Caenorhabditis elegans: one gene and its partners. The protein of the gene in region 2 purifies or fractionates together with the protein of the main gene of each other region. This does not show direct contact. Each region holds a gene or a part of one and is shown on either strand. Other genes may lie near its edges.

What was found.
Region 1: the proteins of C17H11.5 (region 2) and mec-9 fractionate together in Caenorhabditis elegans (co-fractionation; one large-scale study listed by BioGRID). This does not show direct contact.
Region 3: the proteins of C17H11.5 (region 2) and C48E7.6 fractionate together in Caenorhabditis elegans (co-fractionation; one large-scale study listed by BioGRID). This does not show direct contact.
Region 4: the proteins of C17H11.5 (region 2) and parg-2 fractionate together in Caenorhabditis elegans (co-fractionation; one large-scale study listed by BioGRID). This does not show direct contact.

What each region holds. Positions count from the first base shown.
Region 1 is NC_003283.11:9,909,104-9,916,785, reverse strand, and holds the start of mec-9 (Kunitz/Bovine pancreatic trypsin inhibitor domain protein), read left to right. Parts: upstream 1-1,664; 5' UTR 1,665-1,713; coding exon 1,714-1,804; intron 1,805-1,852; coding exon 1,853-2,053; intron 2,054-2,256; exon of another isoform or gene 2,257-2,320; coding exon of another isoform or gene 2,321-2,531; intron 2,532-2,576; coding exon of another isoform or gene 2,577-2,590; exon of another isoform or gene 2,591-2,604; intron 2,605-2,786; coding exon 2,787-2,978; intron 2,979-3,127; coding exon 3,128-3,238; intron 3,239-3,281; coding exon 3,282-3,416; intron 3,417-3,462; coding exon 3,463-3,567; intron 3,568-3,625; coding exon 3,626-3,757; intron 3,758-3,804; coding exon 3,805-3,898; intron 3,899-4,332; coding exon 4,333-4,442; intron 4,443-5,454; exon of another isoform or gene 5,455-5,667; intron 5,668-6,219; exon of another isoform or gene 6,220-6,276; coding exon of another isoform or gene 6,277-6,439; coding exon 6,440-6,490; intron 6,491-6,671; coding exon 6,672-6,821; intron 6,822-7,134; coding exon 7,135-7,226; intron 7,227-7,303; coding exon 7,304-7,409; intron 7,410-7,545; coding exon 7,546-7,608; intron 7,609-7,682. Other genes in the region: fipr-10 (FIP (Fungus-Induced Protein) Related), read right to left, coding at 2,321-2,531, 2,577-2,590.
Region 2 is NC_003284.9:8,182,508-8,187,069, reverse strand, and holds C17H11.5 (Phage protein), read left to right. Parts: upstream 1-1,936; 5' UTR 1,937-1,953; coding exon 1,954-2,038; intron 2,039-3,470; coding exon 3,471-3,633; intron 3,634-3,678; coding exon 3,679-3,750; intron 3,751-3,800; coding exon 3,801-3,966; 3' UTR 3,967-4,062; downstream 4,063-4,562. Other genes in the region: C17H11.6 (RBR-type E3 ubiquitin transferase), read left to right, coding at 453-636, 1,100-1,433.
Region 3 is NC_003279.8:6,234,174-6,239,140, reverse strand, and holds the start of C48E7.6 (Chondroitin sulfate proteoglycan 4), read right to left. Parts: upstream 3,008-4,967; 5' UTR 2,930-3,007; coding exon 2,635-2,929; intron 1,353-2,634; coding exon 1,268-1,352; intron 568-1,267; exon of another isoform or gene 431-567; intron 1-430. Other genes in the region: C48E7.7 (MS Related Protein), read right to left, coding at 3,853-4,231, 4,277-4,356; col-56 (Col_cuticle_N domain-containing protein), read right to left, coding at 4,861-4,967.
Region 4 is NC_003282.8:8,711,883-8,716,909, forward strand, and holds parg-2 (Poly(ADP-ribose) glycohydrolase 2), read right to left. Parts: upstream 3,251-5,027; 5' UTR 3,146-3,250; coding exon 3,013-3,145; intron 2,964-3,012; coding exon 2,854-2,963; intron 2,757-2,853; coding exon 2,586-2,756; intron 2,529-2,585; coding exon 2,416-2,528; intron 2,369-2,415; coding exon 2,086-2,368; intron 1,964-2,085; coding exon 1,840-1,963; intron 1,793-1,839; coding exon 1,502-1,792; intron 1,379-1,501; coding exon 1,250-1,378; intron 857-1,249; coding exon 753-856; 3' UTR 526-752; downstream 1-525. Other genes in the region: ipla-5 (PNPLA domain-containing protein), read left to right, coding at 3,741-3,788, 3,829-3,884, 3,935-4,011, 4,062-4,170, 4,252-4,535, 4,585-4,747, 4,791-4,943, 5,012-5,027. UniProt on the Caenorhabditis elegans protein: Poly(ADP-ribose) synthesized after DNA damage is only present transiently and is rapidly degraded by poly(ADP-ribose) glycohydrolase. Poly(ADP-ribose) metabolism may be required for maintenance of the normal function of neuronal cells.

The DNA of each region.
Region 1 (7,682 bases), on a different chromosome or scaffold from region 2:
ATTGACCAAAAAACATTTGAAGAATGAAAAGTCATAATAACTGATTCAATTCTTTGTTGAAAAACAACATATTTTTTATCACTGAATCACGACGTATGTTTTTGTTTCAAAACTAATGAAAGCAAAAACGAATTTTGTGTGCTTCCTCGCAAAAATACATTTTCTGTTTTGTTCCTCCATCTGCTTACATGACATAACCAGACAGATGTATGGACATGTATGCCGTTTGCACAATACTATTTCGAAAGGTTCTCACAATGAGAAACTGAAACAATAAGAATAACTACGGTAAAATATGACATTTATCATGATAGTTGTTGCGTAATGAGTTATTTCATGTGAAGTGAAAAATAAAATGGGTTCCTTTGTAATTTGACCGCCGCGTGTTACGCCAGTAAAAGTTTCAAAATAAAAAACGGGGCGAGTTTTCAGGTTGGACAATTCATTCCAAAGCTAAGGAAATGTACACTTTAAAACATAAATTTGATTTCAATTTTGAAAATATTTACTGGGAAACAAACATTCAAGAAAGATAGGCGGCACATTTTCTTGTTCAAATTACAAACTCTTATTTTCTAATAGAAAAGTCACAGTTACTGATGAAAGCAATTATATGAACCCTATGCAATATACAATTTAAAAACAAATTACTATACAAATTAATACTATTGATAAGTCTACTGGATTCAAAGTTTTGCGGTACTTGTGTATTACATCTCCTCATTTTGAAAATCAATTAAATTCACATTCATTTCTCCATTTAAATGAAACGTAATTTGGATTTCTACTTTTTAGGCTTACTATTATATTAGAAATTATTATTTCCTATTTGTAGGTCTGAAAATAATTGAATAATTCCGCATGATTTTCAAAAAATGTAAATCAATAATCAAAATTTCTGTCGCTTTTCTACAATTAAGTTTTTAATAAAAAACGTTGAAACATCAATTAGAAAAACTACAACTTGTTAAATTCACCGAAAAACCGAAAAATTAGTGCCTCGTTTTTTGGCCACAAGAAAAAGTGACAGTAACCAGTTCTCGTGAGTTTGTTTATATTTCTGTTATGGTTTTTGCGGTATAACAAATTCTCAAAGTTTTAAACAAACCATCTGCTTCCGCCAACTTGTGAAGGGCTTTGATGATGTGCCGATGCATCTCGGTAACTTTTACGGGCCTGTGACAGATGGAGATGGATAAATTTTTTAACAAAGAAGTTTTATAAAAGAGCAAAAAGATCAGAACCACTTCTAATTATTATTTTCAATATTCAAAATGACACAAATGTACGAAATAACAATGTCTCTTTCGTGCACTTTTCAGTAATCATAACTTTATCAGCCTTCGCGTCAATATCACATGATTATGCAGCTAGACAACATAAGCATGGATTCAAAGAATAATTTCAACTAATCACCCAAAAGTAATTGCATGGGCTCAAGTATAATTTCAAACAAATATCTGCAGGCCCCCAAACATTACTATTTCTGAAACAAGCATTTTTGTGAAAAAAATGTCCGAAGTTAATCACAAATTCACATCATCCTAAACAACTCTTCGTAAAGACAACGGGGGAGGATATCTATAAACATCCAAAAAACCATATGAATACATAGATAATGAGAAGAGAATGCTCATACATTTTATAGTGCGTTAGACCTCTTCTGGCTTGTGGTGTCTTCCACTTTCGATATTTTAGCTTACTGTTGCCAAAATGTTTCTACCACCTCCTCACAAGCTTTTCCCTTTTTTTCTTGTATTTTTAAACCTTGTAGACACAAAAGATGAACCAGTTTTTGTCAAGAGTATGTTTAGAAAAATGTAAAAGTTTAAAACTTTTAAAACTTTTAAAGACAACGAAGACATCTGCCTTGAGGATGTAGATCCCGGACCATGCCAATACTATCAAGTACAATGGTTTTGGGACAAGCAGGTAGAAGAGTGCAAAGAGTTTCATTATGGAGGATGTATGGGCACTAAAAATCGATTTTCATCAAAACAACAATGTGTGAAACAGTGCAAGTACAAAATGTTCAATCCAGTTGCAGTACCAGGTAAACCTTGCGGATGTCGAGTAAAAAATCAAACCATGAATAAATTGATAAGCTATGCAATTATATTTGGATTGATTGCGTTCATGAGATGAAGTTTGTATTTTTCTCCAGATATTTTTACATCACGCATTATTGCCTGCCAACAACCATAAATTAAATTCTTTGAAACAATTTTTGTTTCTAACAATAAAAAAGAGTTCAATAAAATGCACACGTATTTATTGAAATACCATTAAGTATTTTAGTCGTAAGAAAAGAGAAATTGAATCAATTGGCTTGCTGAGATGGTCCAAATCCAGCTTCTCTCTTTCCATAATATCCATATCCTCCGTATCCATAGGCTCCACCATAGTATCCATTGTATGCTCCGAGACCATACCCTCCATAATATGATGGGTAATATGAAGAGTATCCATAGTATTGGGCACTTGTTTCTTGAACAATTGAGCATATGGCAAGAGCCAAAACACAGAGAAGGCTGAAAATATTTGTTTTAAGTTGGATTTTATTTGTTTTAACTTACAATTTAGCGTTCATGATGAGAGTTGTAAGAAGAATGAGTAGATTCTTGGTTTGAAGAGAGGAAACTCTATCTTTTATACTATTGCCGTTCTATTTGCCAAACTTTTTCGCAATGAGTGAATGCCGCTAAAAATGTCAAAAAGTGCAAACTGGTATGTATGCTCGATCATAAATCAAGAAAATATACTAAAATAAACGAATCATATTTTAGATCTTTGTTTATTGGATGCTGATCAAGGTCATTGTGGTGATGAACGGAATGGTCATTGGTGGTACTTTTTTAATCAGGAATCAGGAGAATGCGAAAAATTCTTCTATTATGGATGTGGAGGAAATGATAACAAGTTTTACAGTCTACATATGTGCCGAAAAGTTTGTGGAGAAAGACTTTCGCCACAAATAGGCGAGTTAATTTTATTTTTTGATGGAAGTACTGATTGATCATGTTTTAAAGATTATTTGAAAATCTCAGATTTTAAATGTAATTTCAATTTGGAGGATTTTCTTTCATTTGATTAGAAAAAAAGTTTTTTTAACGGAACTCATTTTCAGCATGTGATCATTGCGACTTGCGAACTTCTTTTTGCAAATCGAACTCAAAGTTCAATTATACTTGTGAATGTCGGAGTGGATATGAAAAAAATCAATATGGAGAATGCATTGGTGAAGCATAAACTTAAATATTTTAAATCTCGTATTGTTTCAGATATTGATGAATGCCGTGGCTACAAAGCAGTCTGTGATCGGAATGCTTGGTGTGTAAATGAAATAGGTTCCTATAAATGTGAATGTATGGCTTCTTATCGAGGAGATGGAAAACATTGTACATATGTTGGTTTAGGTGAGAAAATATCTTTCAGGAGTAGTTTTATTATTGATATTTGAAGGAAGATCATCAATTGATTGCAAGGATTGTTCGATGCATGCCACGTGTATGAACGGAGTGTGTCAATGCAAAGAAGGATATGAAGGAGATGGATTTAATTGCACAGGTATACATTTCGAAGCGATATTAAATTAAAAATTATCAAAGTCAACTTTATATTTCAGATGTGAATGAATGTCTTCGGCGTCCAGAAATGTGTAATAAAAATGCAGAATGTATCAATAGAGAAGGAAGTTTTATATGTACTTGTCTAGAAGGATACGCAGGAAATGGATATAACTGTACAGTTTCTAAAAGTCAGCGTCTTGATAGTTGAAGTAATTTATTATTTTCAAAATTAAAGATTCTTGTCTGGATAAATTTGATCACGACTATAAGGACACATGCGGTAATGAAAATTGGAGGCCGCATTTCTTCTTCAATCATCAAACCAGAATGTAAGCGGTTTTCGCAGTGTTTCTCAAAAATTTAAAATTTGATGACTAAACAATTTTTTAAAACAACTAGCCAATTGATAGAAACAGTTGACAAATTGTCCACATATTATAAGAATGTTTGAGGTACCTTTCCAACAAATTACCTGTATGTAAGGTTTAATAGCAGTTCGTAAATTGACACGAGTTACAGTAATTTCTGTTGCCCGCGTGGCGAGACCTATACACAAAAGATATTGTAAAAATTATCTTCTTTAGACGTATTTGTAATATCAGTCTTTTCATAATATCTTCGAGAAAAATACTTTTTTTAAAATAAAATTTTCACAATAATGAAAAAGGGTACAAGAAACATTTAATGTTTGTAATTCTAAATTTTAAACATGTTTCATCAGCAACATATCAGCAAGACAAATTAAAAGTGTTACATTTTCCAGGTGTGAACAATTTTGGTATGACGGTTGTCGTGGACGTTCGCGGAATATTTTCTCTGAATATGATACGTGTACAACAATGTGCGAAGAGACAAATGTGCTAACACGAGCCGGTAACTTTCAGTCTATTACAGATCGTTCAGCCGTTGTCTTCTCAGATTTTCAAATATTTTCTCCGAATCGTAAAGTTTCCCATCTCACACTCTCCTTTTTCCGTTTTCTCATCCGCTTCTCAACAGCTTCTGAGAGCTTTTTTAACTGAAAAATAAAGTGGCAACCGAGATTAGCGTCACTTTTCTGCTCCGACGCGTTCGAAACTGCTTGGAGCTCTGTCTTCCGGATAGAAAAGAAGCTTCTATAATTGTTCACTACCCTTTCCATACATTTCATGTGAATGTGTTTAGTAAAGAAAGAGCCACCCACCACATAACCTGCTCAGATGTAGTTGACGTCTATAGAAGATCATTTCCGTTGTTGGTCATTGTTAAAGAAATAAATTGTGGTCAAGTCGTTCCGCTTGAAAAGAGTTGCAGTGCTTTTGATGTCTAAGTTTGTTTTCTTCTAATCTTTAGTTCTCTAATAACACTTGCATTCTAAAATAATAACCTTTTGTTCTATGAGCATATTGTTTTTTGTTTTTGGACATTCAGTTTCAAATCGGTTTTTAACTTCAAGTTTAATTATTTATAACTATAAAAGTAAATTTTAACAAAGGGTGGCTTTGTATTTTCTATGAACACTGATTGTAAAAAAATTGAAATTAGTTTTCATATTCAGTACACTTTAATAAAATATAGGTACTAATGTATGTTTTCTTTATCCTATGATTCTTTTAATTCCGAACGTTTTTTAATTTATCGTATTTTTTCACAATTATTTGGAAATAGAACATTGTTGACAAAACTTGAAACCCTTAACCAAATCTGGGTACTATTTTGGGAGAATGCCTAAAATAACCAGTTTCCGGCTCAAAGATTACCATTTACTACTTTTTTGAGAAAATTCAATTTCCATAATGATGGTAGATACATACCACTCTCTCACACACTCACAAACCACTCAACAGATATAATTCGATTTTTGATTTCATGTCAAGATAGTGGAGCGGGTCGCGAGAAAATATGGATAGACGAGAGGAAAGAAAGCTTATAAACGGCCGGGAGCACTCCTTCTTTCTCAACGGGGTCTCCTTATTCTTCTTCTCAAAAGTCGAGAAACGAGTTTTTGGTCCCTCCGGAGGATTCATAGAAAGGAAGTCCGAAGAGAAGACGAAAGACGTCGTCAGAGGCAAAAGAGTGGGAAAGAAGGCCTATATTTCGTGTCAACTCTCGGTTTCCCTCTCTAGATTTTTTTCTTTCTCTATGAGAAGATTTCTTCCGACGAACCACCAAACACATACACAAAACATTCTCCGACTTTCCTTTTTTATGAAAATAAAACGAGAGGCGGCGGCATTTTTGATCAATTTTTGATGTCGTCTGTCACAACTCAAATGTCAAATAGACGTTCTTCCAGTTTTGTTTATTTTTGATTTTTAATATATTTCTGTGTGGTCTGCCTTAATTCATGCAGCTTGAGGTGGTCATATCTCTTTCCCCATGTTGATTTTCTGTCTAAACTGTATAGAAGTGTTTTTGAAACTGAAATTTTGGTTAGGAAAATTTACGAAAAAAAAATTCCAATGACATCAAATAAATTATAGATTAGACATTGCGAAGACTGAAAATTGTATACAATTTCCTTCTTGCCGTTCCATTATATTGAAATGCCTACCTTACGGAACTTAGCAATCATGATTTATTGGTACTCTCTGAGAAACGATTTCAACCTTATTCTCATTTTTCTCATTTTTCTTCGTGTTCTTTTCCAATGGTATTCACTTATTTCTCCAGAAGAGCTCTCCTTGCTGGTGGTGCTTTGGTCCCGTATCATCATTCGCAAGATGCGATGATTCCACGTGGACTCATCACTTTATCACATTATCATGAAAAACTTAAATTTTCACAAAACCGACAAAGACAGCGGCTTGACGACAGAAGATGTTCATTAGACTTCAGGATATCACTCATTATATTATCACAACTTATTCCACTTATTAGTTGTCGTTCAGAAGTTTGCTGGGACAAATTTGATATGAACTACCGGAATCAATGCATGAATGGTGAGTTTTGACATTTAAAAAAGTCAGATGTGTATAATTTTTTATATCTGATTATTTAAAAACCAAACAATTGAAGTGATTTTTTTTTTGAAAAAAATTAGATAAATTTTGTTTCATTCTTAAAAAATTATAAAAAGTTAGCTCATGCACCTTGAAATTGAAAAAAAAAACAATTTTCTAGGCCAGTGGCAACAACGTTACTACTTCGACCATGCTTCATTGACATGCCGTCAATTTTGGTTCGATGGATGCCGTTCGGATTCCAGAAACATCTTCGATGACGAACTGACGTGCCAGTGGCTTTGTGAATCTCAACCAATGTATAAATCCAGTGAGTTGTCATTTATCAATTGACAAACAAAATTTCTGACTATCAAAACATTTTTGTTTTCTTATTCTGTTTTTCTTATGTTTTCCACCCTCACTTCTCAAACTTTCGAATTCAAAACAACCAAATTGTTCGCTTTTTTTTTTTTTGTAAAAAGATGCAAGAACACAAAAAACAACAAAAAACACGAACATTCACAATATTCCCGCCAGTTGAATGATGAACTGTCACTTCCTTTTCTCAGAAACATTTCCTTTTTTGTTTCCTCTGCGGATGTCTAAGACACAATAAGACAACAAAACACAATTATTTTTAGGATCATGTTTGGAAGATTTTGATGAAGGTTTGAAGAAGGAGTGCAATGGAGGAAGATGGCGTCATCAATGGTATTTTGATAAAGGCTCAAAGGTAAATTTGAAGGAGTGATATTTTGATATGGAATGATAATCTAATCTTATCTCAAATTTATAATTTCCGTTTTTCAGAAATGTTTCTCGTTCTGGTATGACGGCTGCAAAGGTGCAAATGAGAACATATTTCAAGATGAATTGTCGTGTCTGCATACTTGCGAAAATCCTGCAAAGAAAGATCGTATGTTCATTTATAAACGTTTCAAAGTTTTGGAATTAAGAACTGAAATTCAAAAAAGTTTTCTAGAATTGGTTATTCTTATTTCCTCAAAATGAATTGTTCATTTTTAGAAACACAATTTTTGTTATTTTTACAGCTAAAAAACCTTGGCACAACAACGACAAGTTTAAAATGAAAGAGATAATCGGCGATATTTACAGTAAGTTTTATAAATGCAGAGTACAGAATGGATGTAACCAAAAAAGTCTTGATCACCTGATATTTTAATTGAAA
Region 2 (4,562 bases):
CGCTCTGGTTTTATATCGAATTTTACGGAACATACCTGAAAGTGGTCATATGACAAGATTTAAGTCTATATAACTTTTAGAGTTTGTCATTAATTCCTTATAATTTTACATTCAACGTCACAAAATATAATTCCAAGAAAACAAAATTTAGGTGACATTTGTGACGCTTCTCGATTGCGCACACGCATTTTTTTAGAATATAACAAACCTAATCAAACTTTCTCCGTTCTCTTTGAATTGTTTTTCTAGTTAATTAAAATTTTTGTTGTTCCGCCATTCTGTTCTATTTTAACAAAATTATGTTAAATTGAAATTTTTTATTCTTGTGAGCTACATAAAATCGCAATGCCGCAGTTGAGTTCGCGTAACAAACTTGAAATGAGAATGCATTGAAAAATATATATAAAGTGTACCAAATCTAATTATTTACCCAACCCCTTCAAATTTTGAAGAGCGCGACGACGATGGGCTTCTTTTCACCGAAGAAGGTGCTGCGTTGCTGATCAATTCACCACCTGCAATGCGCAGCTCTGGAAGTGTGAATATCGATCCCATCGATTTATTCAAAATTCGTAGCTGGCTTGATAATATGAAGCAAATGGTAGCCACTGACGCACCTCAAGAGACACCTTATGAGTGAGTTGCGAAAATTTGAATGTTAAATGTTGTAGGAGGAAGTTTTCGAGAATAAGATGTTTGTGAAAAAAGTGTTATACTGAAATATGAAGTATTATAATCACAAATTTCGATCATTTCAAGCAACAGTTTTTTTAAAACGAATTTTAGCTATTGATTTTTTTGGATTTTAAACAAAAATATCAGAAATTCAGTAGATTTTATGTTGAAATGTGCAAAAAAACCTACAGGCGGAGTGTAATATTGATTTTTTAATGCGATCACTGTAAATGAATTTTGGAAAGGTAATATTTTTAAAAAACGTTTTTCGATTTAATTTGCAGTACTTTTCTTGTACATCATCTTCAAAATACATTTAGTGAAAGCAAGAGCAAAGGTGAAAATAAGTAAAAATGTTTAACTTGAACATTTTTTTCTCCGCTATTGCATTCTTTAGTCTAAAATTATTTGAAAGTGTTTCTAGACCTTCAACGCGACCAAGTAGCAAGCTCCGAAGATCAGGAAGCGGGAAGAGTGTGCATACAGTAGCCACGTTCCCAGTCAACCTCAACACCGGTAACACGGTGAACAGGCAGGGACTCTCGAATTTGTCGAAACCAGAAATTGTTCAAAATATGAGCAACGCTCCTTCGGAGGCTGGAATTACTGTCGCCGCGCCACGTAGCCCGACAGAACTTGAGGCGAACGGTGAGAATGCTGGCGATGACAGTGTGTCGACAAGTTCTTCATCCAGAAGTCAGAAAAAAAAGAAGCGACGTTTTGGAATATTCAGTAATTGGTTCAACAAAACGAAATAATAACATCGCGTTCTTTTTTTTCATTCTGTATAAAAAACATCACTCTATGTCATTTATGTTCCTTCCAGTTGTCTCAACGTGCTTCAACTAGTCATTTCTTCTCATAACCCTGCAATTTTCTCCCTTTCCCCATCTTTTCCATCTTTTCCATTCCAAATTTTCTCCTTATTGTCCAATAACAAAAACATCAACAACAACTCTATGCGGTATTTTTTTCGTACAGTACTTTTTCTCCCTCTTTACTGCTAGCCACGACGTGTGTTTATGTTGTGATTGCCAAAAAGTGTTTCAAAGTCAATCTCGTCAATTTCTCATGTTAACCTGTTTACACTTGTTTCAATTTTTCTTGTCTGACAGTATTGGAATCCAAATTCAAATACAAGTCATCATCTCTTCATTACATTCATTTTTTAATGTTCTCTATATTTTTTTGTAAAATATATTGATTTTAATTGAAAACTTAATTTTGTTTAGTTCTCTCTTAACAATGTTACAAGGTTTTCAGACTGTATAGGCAACGATGACTGGATTTGTTAAACTACTGACCGAAAAAGCAAAAATAGCTATGAGACATCTAAAAGAGTGCGATTTAGATGCACCATGCTGTAAGTTTTAGTATTCATGAACAAAAGTGGTTTTTCTGCATTCAAAACTATTTTTCAAAAAACGAAATCAATTATAATTCCAAAAAAAAAACAGTAAATGAAACATTCTACCTTTTTCAAAATGTTTTTTTTCATAATTTTTATTGGAAATTTCAATATTTTTGTACAAAGCAAACGTTATTTGTAAACACTTGAATAATGATCGCAATCGTTTGAAATTTATGGGCTTATTCAAGTAATGTAGCAAAATGTATTTAAATACATTTGTGACGTCACAAATGTATTTAAATACATGTTTTTATATACTTGAATACAGTTGTGACGTAATTTTTCTACACTTTTTAATTTTCCGACATTACTTGAATAACCCCATTAGAAGGAATGAAAATACTTGAAAAAATTCTTTCACGAGGTCAGTCCATTTTTTCCAAGTTTCAATAAAAAATGATGTTTTCTCATCCAAAAATAAATAATTTATCTACATTACATTTGAAAGACTGTAAAAAAATTCGAGGAAGTTCAAGAAAATTTGACCGAAAAACGCAAAAAAGCCCACATGGGAGGAATTTTATTTATTCATTTATTTATTCATATTTATCCTTATGATGAGTTTTTTGTTCATTTTCTATGTAACGGTTAGAAAATTGAAACATAAATTTAAATCGGCGGCAACGATATAACGCACTGAATTGGCCATCAATGAAAATTACACATTTTTACTGTTTTGTGTCTTCGCGTCGATCAGGATTCAGCGCGTAGTATCGTTGCCGCCAATTTAAATTTATTTTTCAATTTTTCAACCGTAGACTTAAAAAACAAACCAAAAAATGGGCGGAAATAGCCAACCGTCACGAAGTTCTAAAATAGGCCCCACCCCATGCGGGCTTTTTTCCGTTTATCAGTCAAGTTTTCTCGTACTTCCTCGAATTATTTAACTTCCCCTCATATTCTTTCTAATATGGCCGAAAACTAAAATTTAAGACAAATAACCTTCAATTGATAGGCTTCCTTTAGATACAAAATAAGTGCAATATAAGAACAATATAATTTGTTTTTCAAAAGAGCCGAAATAGTATGTCGCAAAGAGGTTTAACGGAAAACAATGTTTTGTTGGCAGAGTTTTGAGATCAAAAAGTGGAAAAAAACTGATAAAATAAAACAAAAGTTTCCTTGACCTAATAAAAAAGTTAAAAAATTTTTTGAAGTTCAATGAAGTTTAGAACAAAAGTCAATTTTAAGTTTTTATTGAGTCTACCTAAAAATTTTCGACATTTTTAGGTCGGTCCAAATTTTTTAAAGAAAAATCTCTCAATTCGAAACCTAGAGGAATTTGAAACATCAGATATATGAGATTTCTCTGTATGCTAGTATTTGTGATATTAGAAAAATACATTTGAAATACTTTCTTTAATACATAGTTTTTCTGGTTCAGTCTGCAGTCACCATCCAGCCGAGACATACGTCTTTCCTGATCAGTACACTCTCAACAAACTGATGAACGGTGAAGCTCCGCCAGGTCCCATACCACGAAATAAATTGAACGACTGGGTTGGAGTTCCTCCGGTATGCCCGGAAAACGATGATGGTGCTATTATGTGAATTGCAATGCCGTATCGTTATTTCATATTCTTAGTTTTCAGAGAATTTTCGGTTGCAATGGAAACCTGTAGATATGATTACATGACCATCAAGTATTGGCTCGACTACCAGAGGTCACCTAACATTTTGAACTATTGTTTTCTGAACTCTAGTTCATTTTCAGAATTTCCATTGCCGCAATGAAAGTGTACGATAGAATGAAACGAGAAAAATATAATCGACCATGTAACGTAGTAATACGGTTCATTTGCCGGGCTATCAGATTACTCTTTGGAATCGAGAACAAGAAGCGCTTTGATGGAGCTCCATTAATTCGAAAGGAAATCTAAACGATCATTTAAACACATTTCAACACATTACTGTGTTAGTTCTATAATTCAATGCTCCGAACATTGTTTTTTTACAAATAAAATATTTTGTAAATTTTTCAAATTAATTTTTTCAACACATTGAAACATTTCTTGATTAAATTTGTGAGTACAAGTGCTGAAAAATCAGAAACTTTAGCCCTGTGCTAAGAGTGTTAAATTTAATTTTTGTTTAACAGTAAGTGATCCAAAAATTTTCGGTATTGGGAAACTTATGCATTTGCCGGTTTCTAAAAATATCAGATCTTGACGATCTTCTGCAATTCTCAGACTAAGTTATGCCTCAAAAAAATAAAAATATTAGAGCGAGCAACAAGTGTTTTGTATTTTCTCAGTTTTCATCTTTTCTCAAATTTTTTATGTGGTAAAGCAATCCCCGAAACTTCGTTCGAACAACATTCCCTTTTTTTTTATTTTTTTAAGAACTCAGCAGTATGAGACACTCTTATAGTAGTAGTAGTAGTAGTAAAGTACTAACTTCACAATGTCATAAAATCCTCGGCACCTCTTTTTTACCAACCGGTGTAATACAGTGCGTCCAACTTCTATAGCATCCC
Region 3 (4,967 bases), on a different chromosome or scaffold from region 2:
AGAATTTTTAACGCATGTTGAAAATGTTGCAAATAATTTTAATATCATGTTGGTAATGTGTTGAATATTTTAACACAGTCAACGAAATATATATTGATAGACATCTCCCGAACTCATTTTTTACGATATATTTTTGAACGTATTAGTGTAAAATCATGTGTTTGAGTTTCAGAACCTTTAGGATATGCATTCAAAAATGGGCTTGCTAAATTTTGCCTTTACGGGTAAGTTAGGAAAATTCCCTAAACATTCTTTAAAATAGATGTTATTAAAGTTATTTCGGATTTCTATGAACTGAAAAACATTTAAGTCCCTCACTTTATCATATTTGTTATTTTTATTCAATATCCCCCATTACCTATAGTCACAGGTTATTTTTCAGTGACCACTGACTTTTTTACTAACAAACAACTCTTTGCCACTGCCTCGCCACCCCATAAATCCCTCTCAAATGTGCCAATTTTATCGGCCACAAAGTATCAAATTCTGGTGGTCTCCATCTCTATCCAGCGTATCCCATTCTTTGCCTAAATCTCTCTCAATTCAGCACTATTTCGTGATTCTCAATTTTTGATACTCCACTGTCATCACTGACTTTAAACCAGTGAAACAGTGCCAAATGATGTGGACACGCAGACATATGGATAATAATAATGTGGTAAAATAGTGCGAGATTTGATTCGTCGCAGAGAAATTGCTTCAAGATGTTGGAAGAATGGAATGGAAAAAGAGTTGCCGACTGGACGACAGATTGATGATTGAGTGAAAACGAGACCGCCCATTATTCATGGTTTCAATGATAGGGACACATGTTTGTTACGTCTGATTGTCAAAGTCTTCAAGATATATACACCTATAAGGCAGATGTATACTGCCTGAAAACGATCTACACATTTTCAGTCGAGTTGTCACTAAAAGTAGACACATGTTGCCTTCACGTACATTTTTGTCTGTTTGTTTGTCTTGTGAAAAGTACACCGATTTTTTGAACTAAATTGGAACCTGAGAAATTAATAGAAGTGTCAGTTTGTATATTTTCTACAAGGAAACCCTTAAATGCAGCCTACGCCTACTTGCAGTGAATTTCAAATTTTCTTCACATGATAGTATGGATAAGGTCGCCATTGGATACACATGCCTTGAATGCCTACAATATGCCTGTACCTTCATGAAAGTCTAGATTGAACATAGTTAACGTTTCTTTTGACACAGAAACGCTCAAACGGTAAATCCAGATCTAATTCCTTTTTTTAATGTTTTAACTCACCCGCATATCCGTTGAGTCAAAATTGAGCTGGATTGAGTGATATCAAACATACATCCTTTGAGCGCTGTTTCGTTTATTGTGAGCCCTACAATTTGTTTGAATTCAACTTTGTATTTTAATATTTTTTATTTTTCTATTCAACTCAAGCATCCTCTTCTAACACATGGCTCATAAAAATGAAGAAGAAGAAGAGAAAACATATAATTTACAAAATGTGTCGGTTGGTGGTGAACAAGTGCAAGTATAAACAGGGATGATGGAAGGACACATGTGTTGACACTTGCTAATTAGTCCAACAACTATGATTTTTTGAAGAAATGGGTTAAACTTTTCCGGGAATCTTGAGGTATCTACTGCCTACATTTTGAGATAAAAAATACAGTTTTATTGACCGGGAAAAGAAGAAATGGCGGGATTTGGCTTCGAAGCGAGTTCTTAGAAATTGTTTTCTTATTATACTTTTTGACTCGGTAGTTAAAAAAATTAGCTGCAAACCCCAACTCCCAATTTTTGTGAAGAATTCAGGGTAAAGAAAAAAACGGAACTGTTGTGCAAATACTCGAAAAGTTCAATTTAACAATTTTGCGCAATAATTGAAAATATGCTGAAATCATACTCAAAAAATAAGTTTTACAATCTTTGTATGTCCTTTTCAGCAATTTTCAAAAAAAGCTAACAAATTTCTATTAGGTCTATTTGAAATGTCATGTTCATCGGAATGATCTGCTGATGAATTTTCAATGACTCTCTTTCCTTTTTAAGCTTCTTCCTCTCTCTCTCTCTCCATCTCCTTCTTCTTTTCTCATTCATTCATCTTCATCAATTGTTTATTACGGAACAAACATAGAGAACAGCAACAACAACATACCGAGATGCTCCAGAATACTCCAAAGAGTACTCTTTTGCTCATTTCCGGCGCCGGCTCCAGCTTCCAAAAGGAGCCGAAAAGAAGACTAAAGTGCTCTTTTTGTTGGTGTGCTTTGAGGCAGCCGCTATGATTCTAGCACAAAAACTATTCTAGCCACTTGCAGCAAGCGTCTTTCCAGATTTATGAGATTGGTTTTCACTTAATATCGGGGAGGGAAGATTGAAATCTCTAATTTTAGGAAGAATTTTTCAAGTTGCAGAAACTCGTTTTGTTGTCATCATCGACATCGAGAAACTGGCAACCAGCAAACATGAGCAGTAATTCAAAAGTCTTTTTTCAAACGCAAATCGGAGAGTTTGAAGCAATCATTTTGTAAAAAAAAGCGAAATGAGTCAGATTTTTCTACTGATTTCACAATTAGATATAATGTTTCAAAAAATTTCAAGGTTGTTTTTACAGTCAGGAAGTAATTCGTTCGTTAATTCTTTCGGTAACTTACCGATATTTGGAGCTGAACACAATGTTGGAGAATAAACCAGAGAGTTTGCATGTGGACTTTGAAAATGTAAAGAAATATGTGAAATACATTTCAATGAGAATGATGTAGTCTCATTTTCAGAAATAGCTGATACAGGAATCGAATCCGCGTAGATGTGTCCATTGTGAAATGATAATGATAAGTTTTTGGACGGTGTGCTCAATATAATTGGTGCAGGATTAACCGATGGTCCGTTGATTTGTAGATCGAAAGTTAGGGGAGATGTGATAAGTGATATCAGTGCCAGAAAAGCCATCGGCACATTTGGCCTAGACTGTACTGAAATGGAGAAAGTTTTTGGTGGGCAGTAAAAGAGGCAAGAAGTATGTTGGTCTCAGACACAGAAAGAAGCTCAAGCCACGCCCATCAAAGAGGTTCGAGGGAGGAAATGAGGGAAGGAGAAGAAAGAGGAACAACTGACACATAGTACATCATAAGCTGGCAGAAGGTTGAGGAACGAATGAAAAAGACAGAGAAAAAGAGAAATGAGGAATCAGATGATAATAATAATGATTAGATTTATTAACAGGTATACTGCGGTTGACAGGAAGATAGAGATTGCGATTTTTCATGAAATCTTGTTTGATTAATGGAATAAAAAATTTTGAAGAACTTGGTTATCACATAATATTTTATTGAGTTAGTATGAGAGCAATACAAATCGATCAAATCATTGAATCAAAGCGAAAGCCACTATTGGGACAACAATAAAGGTTTTCCAGTGGTTGATAAAGTTTTTTTTTTCGAATCAGATAAAGACGATTATTCGGTTTTGGAGGAAGATGATGAACCGACAAAATTGTGTAATATGTAATTTTCTCATGTTTGGAACTATTTCTCTTTCCCGCAAATTCTCAACCAACTTCATCAACTTTAGAGATGCCTAATTTCTGAAATGAAGGCACGACTTCATGACTACCACCCTGCTTCTTGCTTTCCTGTCCTGAATTGAAATCCTGCGAGGTTAATGGTTAGCACATCTTAAATTTAATCTAATCTGAATGGAATAAGAATTTAGCCGAACAGCTTTGATTGAGTTCAGAAACAAAGACATATTACGATAATCACATATTATTTTATTAACTGCAATAGATTAATGTAATAAAGACTTTTGAAGAACTTGGTTATCACATAATATTTTATTCAGTTAGTATAAGTTAGCAACAGAGATCAATCAAATCATTGAATCAAAGCGAGAACGACCATTGGGACAACAAAGAAGGTTCCAGTGTTGTAAGCAGCTTTTGTGGCATTGGTTGAAGTTTCTCCGAGCAAGTCATCAACAGAAGTTACATTTGGTGCAACAGTCGATGAAAGCGATGGACGAGAAGCCCCTTCAGTTGTAGCTTCGATGTTATTGGCAGCTGGAGTATCAACTGGAGCATTGGTTTCAGCATCTTTAGTCTCTTGAGTGGCTTCTACAACAACAGCTTCTGTAGTTTCTTCAACAGCTTCGGTGGTTTGAACTGGTTCTGTAGCTGGTTCTGTTTCTGCAACGGCTTTGGCTGTTGTTTCGATGAGAGCCACAGTTGCATCTTCAGTGACTTTAGTTGCAGTCCTGGAATAGAAAAGTAAAAAAGAGTAATTATAGAGAACAACTCACACAGCAACGGCAGTATCGTCTCCATTGACAATTGGAGCCAAGATGAGGAGCATGGCGAACAAGATGTTGATTGATTGCATGTCGATTGATTTGGTGCAAGTTTGCAAGATGATGGTTAGTCGAATGTTAATGTTCAAGTGAGAACTGATTTTATTTCAATTTTCTCATCTTCACATCAACTTTTATCTCGATGTTTGATCGACCTTTACGTGAAATACGTATTCATTGGACATTGGAAAAGCTCACGTTTATCTTCAAAATATTTATATTAAAATAAAAAATCATATTCAGATGCTTTTTTCAATTAAAGCAAACCAGCTGTTATGTACCACTACAGCAACCTGAAAGTATCCTTATAAGTACTATCGGAGAACCCCAAAAACCACCCAAGAAAATGTTCTATAATTATATTTAATTAGGACTGGCAAACAGGATTGATAGTAAATTGGATCCATCACGAGCAGGAGTATGACTTTACGTTTTCAATCTCACAAAATTTGTGGGGGTCAGATGAAATAGGTCCAGTATACCGCGTTAGTGATAAAAAGAAAATATAACAATCTTCATGAAGTTATAATAAAAAACTAAATATATTTGATTCTCCTTCTGTTCCAAATCGATTTTCTATTTCTCCTCGATTTCGCGACTTCAAATTCATAATAATCGTAAGAAAACTTCTTTTCTTGAGCTG
Region 4 (5,027 bases), on a different chromosome or scaffold from region 2:
CTTGTGACAAATAATGTGTTTTAATCTGAAAATCGTTGAAAAATAACACTTTTCTGCGAGATTTATGATTTTGATGAATAATCCATTGAAAACAAGGAAAAACTTTAAAGTAACTTTCTATAGTGCAGCCGAAAATTGTTTGAATGTCGTTCAATCAAAAAAAAACAATTCTTTGCAATTTTGGAGAGTTTCCCCATCGGCACTAAAATAATAACTTTTTAGTACACTCTTTTTGAAAAAAGGTGATTTTTGAAACAAAAATGCACACATTCAGAGGCTAGGCAATTCAAACTTTTGATTGATTATAATATTTCATTGCAAAAAAACCTAATTTATATATGTCTACGACTTTTCGAGAAAAATTTGGTTACTGATAAACGTATGAGAGAAATAAATAAAATCATAAAAAATATGCAATTATTCCTTCGACTATAGTGGTTTAGTTAGTCAGCTTCAGACTTTGAAACTTCCGGGAAATGTAAAAATAAATTGAAATCTTAATTGGATTTTGTCATAAATTTACAAGAATTTAGGATGAATGAAAACTTTTATTGGTATCTTATGAAAATATTAATGTTTAATTTTTGAAATGGTCATGATCAGTTAAAAAATAAATTGAATAAACAATTTTTAGAATATTAATTAAAAATTTGAAAGTAAAAGTTCAGATAAAAATACGAAAAAATATTTGGAAAAAACACTGTATATAAAACTTTGGGGAAAATATAGCATTTCTGACAAAGTACATAGCTTCATGCTTTGGTGGAATTGATTTTTGCTCTGATTGCATCAAAAACATACTGTTCAGAATAGTTGAGTGGTGGCCCGATGGAATTAATAATTAAAAATAGTTGGCCTGAAATTAAAACTTTTTAAATATGCGGAGTATATTATATCCAAATATCTCTATGATAACAAGGACGTTTGAAAAAAAAAGACCTTATCTATGTAGGCACAGAAATGTATGCCTGTCTGCCTTCAAAGCAACCTATGCATATCTTGGACTTTCACTAGACTCTACGGAAAAACTACGGAAACATCTACAATTTCGTAAGAGTGCTCAATAGGAAAAAAACCAGAAAAGTTATTTGAGTTCGAACTGATAATAATTTAAGCAATTGAGTTATTAAAGAGTTGACTGAATCTAATATAAAAATCTTTTAATTTGATGTCCGGCTCTTACAATTAATTTGAAAAATTTGTATCATTTGATTATAGTTTCATTTAAAATTATTGAACTTTTTCTTACCTGTTCTGACATTGTTATTTCTGAATAACGTCATCATTTCTTCGCACTTTTTTGCCAGTTCAGTGTCTCCGAATGTGCAAAATTGTAGTGGTCGATCAGAAATTCCACAAGCAATTACTTGAATTAGGACTGAAAAATTATTAATAGTATTTTATTCTGCAAAATGGTACGCTATGTTCATTTTGCCGTCCATTGGAAAACTTGCTGTAGCTGAAAAGGAATTCTGAATAAAACGAAAAAAAAAAAACGTACATTTTAATGGTTTATTTCCTCGAAATGCTCCACATCCCCACCATCCCGATACAACTGGAATTTTTGAAAATCCGTCACCGGCACTCAAAAATCCAATTGCAGCTTTTCGAACTTCTCGTGTTAATTTTTCAGTTGTTAATTGATTTAAAAGGCATTCCAACGGCGTCCCCGCATTTCGAACAGCATCAATTGCAACTGTTTCAGTTTGAAGACGTCCAAATTGATCCCGAAATGAATTGTTATTTTGAGCAGAGTGCTTTGGTGTTATCTTGGCCCATTTGAGAGTGTTAGCTGAAACAATATATTTTTTAGAAAATAAATTAACATTTAGAACTTACAATATCCAGTATAGGAACTGAAAACATAGGCTCCAACAATTGAAATAGCTTCCAAATCTTGAGTTACATCATTCAATAATATAGCAACCATCATTTCAGGGCACATCATAAAACGAATTTCTTCCTAAAAAACAATAATGCTTTTTATTAATTTCAGATGATTCGAATTTTTAATAACAACTCAAAACATGAATACCACAAAACGTCAAATTGAATCGCTAAAAATTGAGAAAAGATAACCTGTACCTGAACAGCTCCTCCTTTCAAAACTCCGCCTCCGAGACGTTTATTTGCAAAATCGATTTGTGTGCAGAGTGCGGTCTCCTCAATGGACATTTTATCAAATACTTGAACATCTGGCAACAAATTAGTTTCTCTTAATTTCCAATTTTCCAAATATTGTTTATGTGTTATTCTCATTTTACGAAAACTGACAGCACCAATTGGAGGATCTATTGACATTTTATCAAAGTATGTGAACAAAAATTTCAGTTTTTCCACTGCGACACAAGTCGTTTTTTGAAGAATTCTAAAACAAGGATTTAAATGTACAGCTCTACACTAGTTTAGATTTACATAATGAAACTCAATCGAGGTGTGTCACTGAAAAACATCCAAGCAATTAGTGATGCACATTGAATATGACTGAAAGTTGCTGATTCAATATCTCCGACAAGCCGATAAATTTTCTAAAAACAAAAATATGTAAGAACATGGTAAAAAGAATTTCCCACAGTTTCACTTACCTCTGGAAGAACTTCACAAGCTGATTTGGTAATTCGAACTAATCTTGCTAATTTTTCAAGAACTTCATCCTCTCCAACAATTTCTGACATTTTGCGGTAAAACGACTTTAGTGCTGGTAAATCAAATCTTTCTTTTTCTTCAGAATATCCCCATATTTTGAAAAGAAGATCCTGGAAATTAGATATTTTACACGAATTTTATTTATTTAATGTAAAGAATAATATGTTTAGAATAAAACATACTAGTACAAAGATTTTAAAAACTTACCTCGAACTGCGAATATCCTCCATTTTTGTAAGTTTTCAAATATTCATTGAACAAATTTTGATCACAATTTCTCCATTGTTGAGACACCCCTGTTTCCAGTAGCTCAAACGCTGAAGTTATTGTACTCATATTTTTCGAAATAAATTTGGAATAACTCACATATGTTAGAAATAGGAAAATCCGTAATTTCACAGTATCTAACATTCCTTTCAGCATCAACTTTTTGGAAATCTGGTTGAAATCTGATGCTTCTGAATTCTTCCAAATACTTCATTAAGTTTTCATGATCCATTTCAGTTGTTGTTAAACTATATTTAAAAATTCAATTGCTAAAAATTAAAAGAATTAAATAACAGAAATATTTTAGAATAGTTGGAACAATGTTTCGTGTCCTCTAAAAATGAACATAAGAAAACTATGAAAAGGTCGAAATATATAGAGGACATCGCTTTGAAACATTGCGAAATTTTTCAAAATCTCGCTCTACATTTTTTTAAAATTATGACAATCATTTAAAATTTAGAAAAACCGCAAACGTTTTATGCTGCTTGGCAACAGTCGAGAATTTTTCGAAGTTTCCAACGTTATTGCAAAATATTAATTTGTGTGGCGTCATTTTTTTTATTATAATTTCTGGACATAAAACAAAGTGTTACACCAGTCACCGAGGGCACCAGATTTTTTGAAGATGACACACAAAAAACTGCACAACAAACCGATTATAAATAAAACAAGAGACTATAATAAATTGTGAACTTTTACAATTTTATTTTTGAAACTATGTTTTATTTTACGCGACCTTTAAAAAAGTTTAAAATAAAAAAAGTTTGGTTTTCTGATCCCGTTGTCGCAATTTATTTCAAAATTTTCAAAAAACGGGCGGAACAATGTTTAGCGATGTTTTAAAAAGAATTAATGCTCAAGAAATATACAAGGTATTCCAATTTTCGGTTAATTTCGCAAATACAATTTCAGCGTCATATTGACATTTTCCATGCAATCACTTATGACAATATTGATGGATTGGTGGCGTTAGTTTTTCAGATTTTCAGATGCGTTTTTGAATTGTTAATATTTTCAGAGCATTTGTCCGCAATGAACCATTTGATATAAAGGATAAAAATGGAAATACTCCGCTTCATTTGGCTGCAAAACTCAGTAATTTTAAAGTTTTAATGTTTAAGAAAACTTAAATGATGTTTTGACAGATCGACGTCTTCTTTGCCGAGCTGTTTGTGTCTATGCCGCTGGATTGGATCTTTGGAACTCGAAAAATAATGATGGAAAAACACCAATTGAGATGACTGATGATGCAAAGTAAATTAAACTTTTACGGTGTTCATTAAAATTAATCAAGATTCAAAATCTCGATTTTACATTAAATGATTATGTTTTCAGCATAAAACGAGATCTCCAAAGCATTTCAACTAGTAGAAGTTCCGTGGACAGTCATCACATGGCTTACAACAAACTCCTAATTGAAAAGAAAATCAATGAAAATGAGGAGCAGAATCAAAATCAGAAAGTTATTTTGAGTCTTGATGGTGGCGGTTTAAGAGTTGTTTTGCAATGTGCAATTCTTTTGGCTGTTGAAAGAGAACTTGGAGAACCACTACGAAATCGAATTCATTGGATTGCCGGAACAAGCTGTGGAGGTATCATGGCAAGTTCAATTGGTGTTGGTTAGTTTTTAATTGCTATGATTCAATATTTAAATTCAAATGTTTCCAGGTATTGATCTAGCGGACGCACTCCGTCTCTACATCATAATTCGAAAACGTATCTTCGGTGGAAATAATCAAAAGTTCCCTAAACATTCAGCACTTGGAATCGAAACTTGTCTTCAAGAAGTGATGGGTTCAAAGACTTTAATGTCCAAGTGCACTGCCCATCGGTACAGCTAAGGGATTGAAAATAGTTGTAAATCTTAATTTCAGTCTTGTTGTTACAACTGCAAAAGTCACATTGGCTCCACCTCAATTGGTTCTCTTCCGGTCATATGCACCGCGTATCGACTCAAAAGAGTTTGAGCAACTTGGATATTTCAATCCGAACAAGATTTTGTTGTGGAAAGCAATTCGATGCACTACGTAAGTTTTTCGTCCGCTAGAGCTGGACCAAAATTTTATGTTTTCTTTTTTAAATAAACTCAAATCAGAGCTGCTCCTACTTAC